Saccharomyces cerevisiae S288C: one gene and its partner. The protein of the gene in region 2 interacts with the protein of the main gene of each other region in a biochemical or structural test. Each region holds a gene or a part of one and is shown on either strand. Other genes may lie near its edges.

The links. Proteins that work in one complex are often made in the same cells at the same time.
Region 1: the proteins of PRT1 (region 2) and RPG1 form a complex in vitro, tested with the Saccharomyces cerevisiae proteins (4 studies listed by BioGRID).

The regions. Positions count from the first base shown.
Region 1 is NC_001134.8:396,555-400,311, forward strand, and holds the start of RPG1 (translation initiation factor eIF3 core subunit a), read right to left. Parts: upstream 1,724-3,757; coding exon 1-1,723. Other genes in the region: AAA family ATPase SEC18, read right to left, coding at 2,060-3,757.
Region 2 is NC_001147.6:1,016,046-1,019,802, forward strand, and holds the start of PRT1 (translation initiation factor eIF3 core subunit b), read right to left. Parts: upstream 1,608-3,757; coding exon 1-1,607. Other genes in the region: PRE10 (proteasome core particle subunit alpha 7), read right to left, coding at 1,835-2,701. UniProt on the Saccharomyces cerevisiae protein: RNA-binding component of the eukaryotic translation initiation factor 3 (eIF-3) complex, which is involved in protein synthesis of a specialized repertoire of mRNAs and, together with other initiation factors, stimulates binding of mRNA and methionyl-tRNAi to the 40S ribosome.

The DNA of each region.
Region 1 (3,757 bases), on a different chromosome or scaffold from region 2:
ATGAAGCATTGTTGAAACTGTCAACATCGTGTAGGACATTGGATAATTCAAGCAACTTGTTGTGGATGTAAGAATTGCGGATAATAACAGGATCAGATTCTTCTTCCTTTTCTTCACCGTCTTCAGTTTCTTGTGGCCCAAGAGCTTCGTCAGTTTCCTCCTTTTCTTCTTGGACTTCTGGCTCTGTGTTTTCTTCTTCAGAGACTTCTTTAGAAGCAGTTGATGCGAAAATGTCAAATGGATCTTTAGCGAATGTAACCTTAGCAGATTCATGATCGATGGTAATTGAAACATAATCTTCCACAGCAGCTTGTAACAGCGATTTTTCGATGTCCCAAGCAGATAAGTCTAACGGAGCAGGTAGGGTAGCGAGCTTGTATAATTCGGACTGGGAGACAGTAGTGAATTTTTGAGAGGCAGCAACAAAAACCCTTCTCATAATGACGTCTCTTAAAGGTGCGATGTATTGGCTGAAGTAGGTTTTAGAAGACAATTTGACTAATAAATTTTCCAGCTGTTGTTTCACTGTGTCGACATCAAAGTTAACTTCAATGATATCGTACAATTCTTTCAATTCCTCGTCAACTTTACCATAAATGGATTCGTCTTCAATAATGGATTGCAACATTTCCTTTCTAGTTGGCTTGGCGTCCAAGTTTAATAAACGGTACATACGTAAATGAGGATCGTAGCCAATAGATGGAATTTCGTCTAGTTGGGTAGAAATAGCGGATAGGAAAATTGTAGAAGAATATGTTTTGAATTCTTCTTCCGTGGCTCTTGGATTGGTAGAATATAACTTATAAAACTTCTTCCAGGCAGTAGTGTGCAACAATGGATCACCGGAAACAAAGAAGACCTTTACGAGATTCTCGTAGTAATTAGCCAAAGTAGATGGTTTAGGAGCACGTTTGGATATTTTCATTAAGTGGAAAACATCCTCAATGGATCTATAAGCCTCGTGCCACAATTCCAACTTGACAGAAACATCGACTTGTTGGAAACGTTGATCTAAATAACGTTGCAAGGTATCAGCATCGCTCAAGTCAACTAAATTGTTTCCTGATTTACTTTGTTGGTAGTTAGCAGCATCTAAATGTTGACGTAACATTTCAGCTAATCTCTTGAATTCGTTTTTACGCTGATACTTCAAACAGAAATGCATAGTTTTTTTAACGACACCAGAATAAGTAATTTCCAACAAAGCGTTGTTTCTCAATAAATCTAAGACTGCACGATATGATTCCCAAGTAAATCTTAACCATGAAGTAATGGCTTCATCATTGAAACCAGCCACAGATTGATCTGACTCGTAAACAGAAATCAGCAAATTTTCTGGGGTAACACCACCTTCCAAATCATCATCGATTTCTTGCTTTTGAAGTTCGTCAGCTCTAGTTTGTTCAGAAGCGATTTTAGATTCGACTAAATCAATGAATTTACGTGCAACGGCACCGACAGAAACCAAACCTTCGGTAGATCCTTGAATTAATTTTTTGTACTGGTGCAAACCGTCTTTTAGCAGCTTACCTTTCTTTAGTTCAACACCAATTTCCAAGAATTTAAACACGACTGGCTCAACAGTTGAAGGTGTAGCCCAACGGATTCTTCTGGCAGTTATGAAATCATGCAAAGATTGTAAAGCAGCTTGTTTTTCGCCAACAGAAATAAGTTCATCGGCTCTCTTAATGGCATTTTCAGGACGGAATGGTGGGGGGGCCATCTTGATGTTTCCTGGGCGTTTGTATGGTTTATTTTGGAACTCTCTCTATAGTTGTAAGTATATCTACTTTCGATTTAGTTCACCAAGAAAAATTTTTCACCTGGCAAAGCTTCTCGGGCAAAGCGACTGAAAAATTATCATCTTTACCCGGTGGGTGATAATTATGACAGGCAGATTCCAATGACAGAATAAAAGGAAAGGATGCCTTGGTTTTGATAATTTTATAAAATTTATCACTAAAATATATACCATAGAGGAAAGAACTTGTTCACTAGATCCTTTCTGATTGGAAGGGATAAAGAATAAAAATACAAGGACATGAAAAATTTGAAATAATTATGCGGATTGGGTCATCAACTCAACAAGCTCGTTCACGGGATCTTCATCGTGCCTTGCGGTTTCAATGTTGGTCAAGGTCTTTTTAATACCGACATTGAAGTTAGGACAGCTCCTTGATAATTCATTAATAACTTTAACTCTACCAGCATCGTCAAGAAAGTTTGATTCTATCATGACGTTGTTCAATTCATCTAAATTGGTCATATTTGGAACTGCTATCTCATTGTCGAAGCAACTCAAGATATCCATTTGTTGAAGTACCGAATAAGCTGATGTAGTAGTCATGATCAATAAACGACGGTCTTGTGGGGGTTTACGCTTCAATGCAACCTTTAGCATTTGTAAAATGTTATTAGAGAATCTTGGACCAATTGGTACCCAATCAACTAGAGTCTCTAACGAATCAATAACAAGAATGTTTAGTGGAGATTTATACGCATCTCTGAAAGTGTTATCAATATAGGCAATTTTTGCGCTTTCTGACATGCCTGACAACTCGTTGGGAGAAATTAACCTGATGAATGGGAATCCAGATTTTAAAGCAATTTCAGCGGCTAAAGCTGTTTTACCGGACCCTGCAGGGCCGTGGATTAATAGAGATACTAACCTGGATTTATCACTCTCGCGAACTTGGCGGACGTAACGGGCTCCGTTCTTCAATATTGAGTTAACTCGTTCGGAATAAAGCATCATTCCACCTTCCACACATGTTTTCAAATCTTCTTCACTAATCCCAAAAGCGGGAGTAACATCGTTGAGTGCATTTAAAAAGTCTTCTCTTGTTACTTTAAGTTTTGCTATATCTTTAGTGTTAAGTTTTGTGGCACCTTTCCCGATGTTGACGGTTTTGTTGATTGCAAAAGAACTTGCACTCTTCACTAAACCCTCAATCTCAGCACCAGAGAAGTTTTTTGTTAACGCAGCTAACTCAGCTAAGTTAACATCGTCGCTCATCATATTATTTTCCCTCATTTTCTTCGTCTGAATGTCGAAAATTTGGAGTCTTCCTTTTTCATCGGGTAAATGAATTTCAACTTGGACTTCAAATCTACCTGGACGCAAAAGAGCACTGTCTATTAAATCTTTACGATTGGTCATACCAATAACCAAAATATTATTCAATTGATCAACACCATCCATTTTAGCTAACAATTGATTAACTACATTGTCCCCTACACCGGTACCATCACCTCTTGAACCTCTCTGCTTGAAAACAGAATCCAGCTCATCGAAAATAATAATATGTAAGGAAGATTCCTCACCCTTGGCCCTATATTCTGCTTCTGCATCCTTAAATAAATTACGAATGTTTTCTTCTGAAGAACCAACGTACTTACTCAAAATTTCTGGACCATTGACGATTTTGGGCTCTTTGGCATTCAGCATTGTACCAATCTTTCTTGCAATTAAGGTCTTACCAGTACCTGGAGGACCGTACAATAGCAAACCTTTAACATGAGAAATACCCAGTTTTTCTATAACTGAAGGAGGAAAGATTCGACTTGCAAACGCTCTTCTGAAAATTTTAGTAAACTCTTTATCCAAACCACCGACACCCAAATCTTCAAACTTGAAATCCGGTCTGATCACAGCATTTGATCTTGGTCTTAATGAATTTGATGATTTCAAATTAACTAAACCATCTCTTCCTTTGAAAAAATTAATTTGTGTTTGTTTTGTCAAAATTCCCTTTGT
Region 2 (3,757 bases):
TTAATTACGTCAGTCTTTTCTTTAGTTTCTGGAGCGTAAAATCTGATTGTATTTGCTGGGATAGCATAATTCATATCAGCTACTTCATGAACAGAAATTGTAACAAATCTATTTCCGTGGGGTTCCCAACCGAATTCAAAGACACTATCTTTCAATTCAACCTTTTCAACTGGTATATCTCTTTCAGTCAACCTACAAATTTGTAGATTACTGAATTGAGTCTTACCAGACTTTGTGTGACGTTCGACATTGAAGCACAGGAACTCAGCTTGGTTTTGCCAGTGCAGAGTTACGTTGGAGACTTGAACTAAGTTAACGGTTTTTAGCACTCTACCGCGAGGAACTTCAGCAATGGTAGCAGTACAAGCGGAATTATTAGTCTCAGGAGTCCAATAAGCCAATAAAACAGAAGGCTCGTCACCGTTTCTGAATGGTTGTAATTTAACACCTTCTGGAGCAAATGAGAAATCTCTAATACCAGAAGGCTTCAAAGCCTTAGCTTCTAATGGCATGAAGTTTTTAGTAGCATCGTGAACTATTAAACTGTCTCCAACCATACGAGCACAATATTTATCATTATAAGACCATCTAACTAAAGGCCATTTCAGATATGGGCTCTTTATCACTGGGAAAGTTGCCATCAACAGACCAGAAGCAATGTCCCAGATGCATAATTGATGACCCTCATTTTTCTTGGTAAATGGAGAGAATTCGTTATCTTCTTCTACAATGATTGGTTCCGTGGAGAAAGTGACCAGGTACTTTTCATTCGGAGAGACGGAAGAGTTTCTTACATCTGGATGATAGAATCTTCTCAAACGATCGAAGTTTGGACCACCCCATGCAGTTACACCCTGTTGATGGTAAGAAAACAAATAGGTACCCTTTGGGGAGAATCTAACATAATTGGTAGACCAGTTCTCTCTAGATTCCACCAAAGAATCTTCTTCATTGAACATAGAGTTCCAGAACACACTAGTCTTCACGTCATCTTGTAATACAAACTGATCTCTCACTTTGTCGTCCATTAACCAGGATTTTAAGGAACTAGATGGAACGAATGTAGGCATATCAGGCTCCCTGAATTCGGTGTCAAAGTCGTCAGAATTATATCTTTCAACATCTTTCATAGTATAAAGAAACAAACGATGTTTTAAATCCAGTCTTTTACCGTGGAAACTCTTGATAATTTTTTTAGCATCGTTCATTGAGCCACATTCCACGAAGAGAAAACCTTTCGTCTTACCAGTGGCTTCATCAATTGGAAATTCCATGTTAACAACTTTACCAGCTTTGGAAAACAAAGAAGTCAAAGCCTTTTTCAAAACAGGAACTTTGGCGGATGGGATGACTGGGGCACCATTAACGACGATGTACTGATCGAAATTGAATTCTTCAGTGACCTTGTATTGTTCTTCCAGGTCGGAAAAATCAATGTCGTCAACAGGGATGTCCTCTAGCTTAATGTCTTCGAAAGTCTCGGTAGTCATTTGAATTATCTTTGACCTTTTGAGCTGTGTGTTGCGAGATACTATACTATGTACTGAGATGTTATTGAAATATAATTCGTAAATATTTTTCAATGTGCGTGGAAGAAAATTTTTCATTAGTTTCCCGCTATCCAAAATATGGAAAGGAGGGTAATAGGTGTCAGAAGAATAAAAGTATTAGGCGATCAAGTAATAATGATAAGATGGTGCACAATGAGAAGTTTATCTAGTTACGTAAAATGTAATGGAAGGTACTAAAATGTATTTTTTGTTTCGCGGCGTTACACGTGAGTTCATATTATTTCAACTCTTTGGTTCTTCTTAACGTATTATCAGAATGTCACCTATTCTAGGTGAATATCACCCTCTTGGTCAGTGGTAGCGTTTGCATTCGTAGCCACTGGAGCATTTTCATCATCACTGGACATGACGTTATCACTGTCATCTTCGTCCTCGTCATCATCGCCGTTAATTTCTTTTTGGGCAAAATCGATAGCTTCCTGTAGCAGATCGCCCTTAACGAACTTGTGCAGACCATTCGTTTCCGACAGTGAACACCAACTTATTTCCAATTCAAAATCCTTTTCCTTGTTATCCTCGTGTGCCAAATAGATAATCTTTGCAGCTTGTTTAACGGCCTCTCTTGCTGAAAGACCTTCTGGATGATGGTCAACTAATTTTTCCAATTCAGCCTTCGCAGATTGCCTACCTTTCCCAGTGGCAGCCCCCTTGTAGCCCCAATAAGAGCCACTTGGTTCCAACATGTAAAGATGAGCACCATTTTTATCTACACCACCAAAGATGGTACTGACCCCGAACGGTCTAACACTGTTGTATAAAGTGTGCGCCTGCACATATTGTCCTAAACGGTCTGCAAATGCAGGAATGGGAATGGGCGTTTTATACAGCTTTTTGAAGCTGGCGGCTTCTTCACGACCACGATTAACCAGGTGCCTACCATCAGGAATCAAACCTGAATAAACGCAACCGATGTGACGGTCTACGACTTGAATCTTGACATTTTTTTGTGGGACCAGCAGTTTAGACGTAATGAGCTTTTCCACTGCAAAGACTACACCGTCGTTACACTTTATACCGATTGATGTGGTACCGTTTTCGACTGCTTTGACGGCATACTCTACTTGGAAATTTCTACCATCGGGGGAAAAAACACTATTGGAAAGATCGTAACCAGTACCAATTGATGTCATTGCTGAAGAGTTATGCTTTTGTTAATTTGATGATGCGACGCTCGAATGTGTTTGAAAGCTTTACAACTGCACTACCAAATAAACCCTCTACCGCCACTATTACCACTTACTTTCTTATTTTTGCCACCGATTTAGAGGGGCGGCGAAATCTTCGTTAAACGTGATTTAGCTATCGGAACCCATTATAAATTGTGAGGAAGCTTACCAACTCATAAGTGGAATAAAGACACAGGCAACACTTTTCAGAAGCAATGTCAGCAATGATTCAGAAAAGTGACCCCATCAGGGTCGAAATCTGAGTGCTCAGATTATCTCTTCAAAGGGTAAATTACGGGTAGGACTACATATACAGAGAACTTCTGGGACCTGGGAAATACTGTTCTTTCTAGTGTGTATACATGGGAATAGCTGCATATTTCCAGACAGTTTAGATGTTACCTTTGTTTAAAGTTAGAGTATTTTTCACACCGATGATTACGAAGTCACACATTCGCATCCTGCGGTATTGTCATTGACAACGCGTAAAAAAACATATACTTAACGGAGGCCGAAGGAGATGAGAAACAATTGAAGAAAAGGAAAGGTAATATTTATTTAAATAGTCGTTTTCAAACCAAAGCCCAGCAATATTTTTCATCACGTCTAATTGGCAGGGAAAATAGTAGTACGAATACTTGATAGGATTGCAGAAGATCTTGTACATAAATGGCCTATTATAGAGAGTCACGCTGAACACGCGGCGGTAGCTTCAAATCTTTCTCTGCATTAAGTTGCTAGAGCTTGGTCTGCCCATTATATGTTCACTACCATCAGAAATTGTGCCTATGATTGTCTATCTTCACTTTTTTTTTTTTTTTGAACTTCCAAGCTGGTCGTGCTGCTATATTTATTTATACGTGTGATTTCGTCTTGCTAACATTAACATTTTTCTTCTTAAAACACACAACGGCGAAATGATTCGTATCACATGTTTTTCTATCGTCTGAGCTGTCAATGTTTTATAACCTAGACATTAAAAGTTATATAATTAAGGTGGGTTCGTCTTTGGAGGAGGTG